2 linked regions of the Saccharomyces cerevisiae S288C genome follow. The protein of the gene in region 2 interacts with the protein of the main gene of each other region in a biochemical or structural test. Each region holds a gene or a part of one and is shown on either strand. Other genes may lie near its edges.

What was found. The genes of interacting proteins can lie anywhere in the genome.
Region 1: the proteins of SSO2 (region 2) and SPO20 form a complex in vitro, tested with the Saccharomyces cerevisiae proteins (one study listed by BioGRID).

The regions. Positions count from the first base shown.
Region 1 is NC_001145.3:305,809-309,190, reverse strand, and holds SPO20 (Spo20p), read right to left. Parts: upstream 1,703-3,382; coding exon 509-1,702; downstream 1-508. UniProt on the Saccharomyces cerevisiae protein: Required to maintain the prospore membrane to the nucleus during sporulation in order to capture the daughter nuclei and form the spores.
Region 2 is NC_001145.3:626,368-629,734, forward strand, and holds SSO2 (syntaxin), read right to left. Parts: upstream 1,442-3,367; coding exon 554-1,441; downstream 1-553. Other genes in the region: ADD37 (Add37p), read left to right, coding at 1,822-2,418; RTP1 (Rtp1p), read left to right, coding at 2,658-3,367. UniProt on the Saccharomyces cerevisiae protein: Required for vesicle fusion with the plasma membrane.

The DNA of each region.
Region 1 (3,382 bases), 320 kb from region 2:
ATACGCAGTGATTACCGGAAACCCTTCATAATGTTTTCCTTTTTCCCAACAAGATTGAACTTTGATATCGTTTTGTAACTAAAATCTTTTTTGACAAATGAAATTATATGAATTATAACTTATCAACTTTATGAGAAGCAAGTAGACTTGGTACTGTAAAAAATATAGTCCCACGACAGCGGTATCTATCTTTCTTACCCTCTTTTACTTTTCACAAAATCATGTTGATTTTTCAGTTAACCCAGTTTAAGATCATGAATGGAACGGGAAACAAATACGTAACAACTGGGAAAAACAAACCTGCCGATGTTTGAATGCACTTTATTTATGGGAAAGAGAAAGCTTTGTCTGACAACTCCGAAAGAAAATACAAAGAAGAATTGAGACCTTCAGTACTAATGTCCCCCTCGCTCTTTTTTTTTTCTCTTTCGCAAGAATATCTGCGTATGCCTTTTTAGAAACTATTTATTCAATATATTTATACACGATATTTTGTGTGTATAACAGATCACCATCTTTTCCCGATCACTTTCTCCAATCTATATCGCTTGGCCTGTAAAGCATTATCTGCCTGCTGTACATTGTTCTCGATGTCAAACATTCTAGTGTTTTGTGCTTCAAACTCTCTGCCAAAAGCGTGAGCCATAATTTTCAAGTCACCACTCACCGCTTTTATTTGTTCTAGGTTTCCGTACAAGTCGATTTCCATTTGGTTATCTTCTTCATCGGCTTCAAACTGATACTTCTGGGCATCTCTAAGAATACGCTGTCTTTCCACCCCTTGGCCATACCGTCCATATTCAGAACTTAGATTTATGGCTAAATTTTTGTCAGAATCTTGGGCTCTTTTCATAGTTTCTTGCTGTAAGTGACGATGCTTTAACTTCAAATTGTAGATCTGGTCTCGCTTTTCTCTCTCCCTTTTCTTCCTGAAGGGGTTGGGTGATTTTAATGCAAGCAGGCTTCTATTTTCATGGGCAAGTTCGTCAATCTTTCGGTCGGCTACGTTAGATTGAATTTTAAGCATGTCACAATTGCTCTCGATCTTGGTGAGTTGGTTGCTCTGACAACTTAGTTGTTGAAGAACTCTCTTTCCAGTACATCGAGCCTCTATAGCTTTTTCAAGTGTTCTGCTTGTCGTTTTTACAGATTTTAATTTAGTGCTTCTAATCTCGGACCTGAGTCTATCAACTATTTCATCCTCCTCAGGCTGGACATTCTCTAAGTTATATTGACTTTCAACTTTTCTCCACTGTGGATAGTCATTCTCATTTGCAAAATTTCCCAAATCTCTGTGAATAACGCTATCTGTTTCTCCCAAGTTTTCTTCAGGTATTTGGCACCTGTTGGACTTTGGAAAAACCTCTTCTAACGAAATAGTAGCAAGGCCATCCCTTTCGGGCACCTCATAAGAGACGCATTTATCATCACTAGTCTTAGTGGCGTCATCGAACCGACAGTTTGGGTGAAGTTGTTTGTGGATTTTATTCCTCAAGGATTTAAGCTTCACATGTAGCCTATCACGTCTTCTGCTTCCTGAACAATTGTCCATCCTGAAGGGTGATAAATATTTTGTTTCATGGGATCCTGTAATATTGGAAATAAGTACATAGCGATGATTTTGCAACTTCAGGTTCTTATGGTGCTGATTATGGTGGCGACTGTGATGCGATTTGCTAGCAAGTATTTTTCTGAACCCCATTATATATCTAAAAATGGCTATTCACAAACGGAAAAATCTAAAGTAATAAAAAAATAATAGTGTTAACAGAGAAGGTTTATCAGTAGCTAAAGCGAGCAAATTACTGGTTAACTTATCGTATTTTCCGTACTGTGGTGAATCTTATGCAAAATGAACCTGGCTTTGGCGGGAGTTTTTTTTTATGTGACACAATGGCCTTTTGCCGGTGGTAAATACGCGCTTCAAAAAGGTTGTTACACAGCGGCACATTAGCATGACACAATCTTGATCCTTTACAATTACTACACCGCCAAGTATAAAGCTTTTCCCAACCAACGTGTTTGCCAAGTAATTTTGTGTAGAGTGCGGCTGACTAACAGCCTTAACCGGGTACTCTGTTCCCTGCATTTGCATAAAAACTACAAAGAAAAGAAAGAAGGAAATACTCCGAACCAAAGAGATACAACAAGAATACTTCTCTCATTACATCGGCACCTTCCTGGGGATTAATTCCTTACAAGCGCTGAAAAAATGAAGAGATGATTCCGTACTTCAACAATGGCTTTTAACCTTATTACCCCAAGAGAGTGTCTACAGAATTAAGGCCCATTTAATTTTTACCTTCCTGTTCCTGCATAACAGACACCCCTTACCCGCATCAACAGGAGGGGAGGAAACATTGCCAATATGTCTGCGAATTGTGACAACCAATCCGCATGCACGGTGGGGGGCGGTTGAAAGCGCCTAGACTTCCCTTTTTTGGATTGCTACGTCACCTTCGCAGCGTGCACCAGGTGCATTCACCACACGAAAAGATGCGAAAGCACACCAAGCGCGAAATTCCGGTTTTTGGCTTGTTTGTTTCGGGCTCCGCCTCATCGTCTTAGCAAATCTAGACCTTGTTGAAAAATCGTGCAGGGACTCCGTACCTGCACAAGCAACGCGGCATAATACATGTAGGGATACAGCAAAGATATTGTTTCTGAATGGGCAAAACATTGCTTTCCGCAAACGGCTTTTTCTTCTCTTTCCCACCACCGTGGGTCACCTTTTTCTTGCGCCTCTTATGCCAACACACTCTTCCCGTGATGCGAATGGTAAAGAAGTTAACAAAAAACACAAAAAATTCATATTCCGATTTCTCTGCAAAGAAGCCTGAGCGGGAACTGCATGTCCGCTTGACTTGTCTTCCCTCCGGTTAGCTGTGCCTGCAGGGAAACCGCAGTAGAAGGACTGCGGAAGGATCTTTTCCCGCCGTTGATGTAATCTTTAAAGTTAATTTTTCCCTCACACAGTTTGCATTTTTCCCGCATGTTGTCCGGTTTTTCTTTCTTTTGTTGCTTTTTCTTCCGTGGGCCTGACGGAACATTCCAAGTTGAGTGCGATCTGACTAAGGAACTAGTAGAGGCTACCGCTCAGTAAGTTTAACAGTCGGCTAAGCATCGATCATCTCATTCTTTGCCTTCACTCAGTTCTTCGCAATAGTACAGTGCTGCGCAATAGACGCACGTATCAGTGATGTATTCTTTCTCTTGTCTTCACATAAAAAGTACGTAGATGTGTTGCCCGTTTGTGTTTTATTAACTTATCGAATGTGGCAAGCCGACGATACAAAAGAAAAAAGTTCATCTTTAACACTTCTTTTTGTTAGTTTTTGAAGTTTTTCCCCACTATCTTTTGCATTAGTTGTGTGTGCCTGTG
Region 2 (3,367 bases):
AGCCTTTCAATAAATTGCTCTTCTCTTGGCGAAAGAAAGCGGGGGGCAAAAAGAATCACGGGACTTATGTTTCGGGATCTCTTTGTTTCTTCTTTTTTTCCCGGAGAATAATTTTTTAGGACCAATTACCGTAGTTGCGACTACAACAATTGTTGTTCATACCCCCACGATTTACTTTTTGAAAACTAGTTTTTGGAATAATAATGTTGTAAAATTTCCCTTTTTCCACCCCGATTTGTATTTTATTTTTCGTTACAAAATTGGGACTAATATTAAGGGCGACAGTTTTTCTTAAAAGTAAGATTTTTTACTTAAAAATTCTTGTTCTTAACGAAATTACATACGTATTAAAATTATTTATTAGATAGTCGGTATTGTCTTTTTGTGAAAAAAAAAAATTATAATACTAATTGTTAAAAAGGCAGGTATGAGGAGGGTATAGTAGGAAAGAGAAAAGACGTTACAATTTTTAGGTTTTCGGTTTTAATAGAAATTGTTTGATTACACATAATAGGAATTGGGGGGCTGGCGGGAGGGAGGCGCATGTGCTCTATTACTTTCTTGTTTCCACAACGGATGGAACAACCACAACGACAACAACAATAGCAAAGATAATAAAGCAGATGATCAAACATCTTATTTTGTTTTTTCTTGCTTTTCTGGCACTCTTAACGGCCTTGTTGGTGTGACCCACACCTTGCTCTACATCTTGCTGAGCGTCTTCGACGTTTTTGTCAATGACATCCACATTTTCTTGTTGTTCGATGACCAACTCTTCCATGTCATTGAACAATTGGGTAAGTTCAGCCATTGTTTTTTCCAACTTCAACAACTCTTGATGTCTAGCCTGTACTTCGGCCAATGCTGTCTTGGCCTCACCACGTCTATTGGCGTTTAGCAACGCTTGGGAAAAGATCTGCTGGCCATTGACATCGTTGATGGCGGCTTCCACTTCTTCGTCAGTGGCTTCCGGTTGGATAATTGTGTACTGTCTCTTCGCCTGCTCTTTGCTTTCTTCTTTGTAGTTAGAATCGATAATTCTGTAGTCTTGAATTAATTTTAAGAATTTCTGTCTGCAATTTTCAGCTTGTGCCTGTTTATTAGAGTCGTGCAATCCGTCTCTCTGGGCATCTTTGATATCCGCTTTCAATTGATACTGCAAATCTGTGGCCTGAGAGATGTAATCGTCCAAAGAACGTCTCAATTCCATCTCCTGTTCCTCACTCACTTGAGTAAGTAGGTCTTTGTGTTGCGCATCAATTTGGTTGATAATGTTTTCGTACCTGGACAAGTTAGCATTTATTGAGTTGATCTTGTTCATAAAAGCTACGAAATCGTCGCTACCATCTGAGTGACCAGTAGGAGCATTGTTCAAGTCCTCTTGCATTTCATAGTTTTCAGCGTACGGATTGTTATTCTCATAAGGATTAGCGTTGCTCATTGCTGCAATATTTGTGCGTGTATGGGCAGTTTTCAAATGTAAAGTATTACAATTCCACACTATTCCAGCTCTCTTATGGGTATATTAAACGATTTAACCTGCCAACAGCATTTATTTGTCATTTTACTTGCTTTTTTCATCCATCCATTGAAACTAAAAACGTCAAAAAAGGCCATTTCGTAAACAACGGCCGGGTGATAAGCACGTCGTTTAGGGGGGACCCTTTGCTGCCGCTTGGTACCCGGCTCGTAAGACATAAAGATGCCACATATTTACTTTTAGCTGGCTTCTTTATTCACACAGGCTACTCATAAGAGCTTCAGTAGACGCGCATCTGTCGGTTCTTCGTCAATCTATTTCCGCACATACTATTACGTACGATGGCTATTAAACCAACCAAAAGTTTTCAGAATTGTCTAGAAGCTGAAGTGCCTGGTTATAACGACTGTCCGACAGTTTTGTTTTCTATCGACCCTAATAGCGGACCTAGATCCAAATCTAAACAAAGAACGAAATCGAAAAGATGTGTTAGCGGCAGACTTGCCACAGAAGTGTTAGATCTTTATGGGAACACTAAAACAGCTACTACGCCGCCACCAGTTTTGAGGAGGCCATCTGTAACTGCTGCTCAACAAGAATCTGCCTGTGAAGGTGTGCTCGTAAAAGACCAAGGCGATAGACAGCTCCAGCCGATATTATGCAGTAAAGAAGAATTAGTGGCTAAGATCAACGACCTCTGTGTGTGTGGCTCGAAGCTCTCTTCGAAGGAGTTGGAATTTTACAAGAAAAAATTAGATTCAAACATTACCAAGATTTTACAAAACGAGCACACCAAAACAGTACTATCCCAGATTTTCAATGAAAAAGACAAAAATATGGCCGTGAAAACCATTAAACATTGGATGGTTACTGACACAACAATCTCAAATTGGTGTCCCGCATTCTTAAAAATTTTTGAAAATGCGATGCCTAATTAATCAATAATATTATTATATTTATAAATAGAAGTACACTACGCAGAACATTTTATTTTCTAAAAAAAAAAAGAATTCCTATTGAATAATTAAAAATCAAGGTTACCCGCAGTCTGCTTGAGAAATTTAATAAAAAACATGTAATCATCTCATCGCGTCGAACAGCATATAGCAATAAGGGCTCATCACCGCCTCATGTTTCTTCTTGTCATATCAGATCAAGAAAAACAAAAGGTTGGAAAATGAATGAGGATAAAGAGCAAAAGATCAACATACACGATATATTGAATACAAGACCGAAGCTCACCAAAAAGACAGCCCTAGATGTTTTCTTCGAAGATCTGGATGACAATGTAATTACTCCCATAAACGAATATGTTCTTGATTCAGGCTCATCATCATCCTCTTCCATTTATCAGGCGTTGAAGTGCTCAAATAACAATGAGTTTGTTGCAGTACTTTTACAGAAATTCCAGAATTTGCACATTCACGTACTAGAACAGCAACGGAGGCTCATCGAAAGTAAAAGTGACTTATTGCCTATCTCATTGCATGATATGAAATACGTAGACGAACTGATAAATCTTTTGATTATTCATGGTATAGATGCTAATTTGTCTCCTACGATGAAAATTCCATTCGATTCGAAAAGAATAAATACTTTCAAGAAGGGCCAAAAAAGCGCAGAATATGAAACGCCTCGATGGCACACCATAAATAACGATACTTTATCTCAAGTCATAACTGTCTTTTATAATGTTCTAACTAGTGAGAGGTCTTCTGACTACCTGAGAGAAATAATATCAAAAGGCAGTGCTTACGCAAACATTTTATTAGGTTTGATTGTGTTACATTTGCAGTTGCCTAATAGGTACTCTTCACAAATGATTACAAATCTAGAAGATACTCAAGAAACTTATACTTTGTTTGGGGTTTACACTCTACTAGTAGA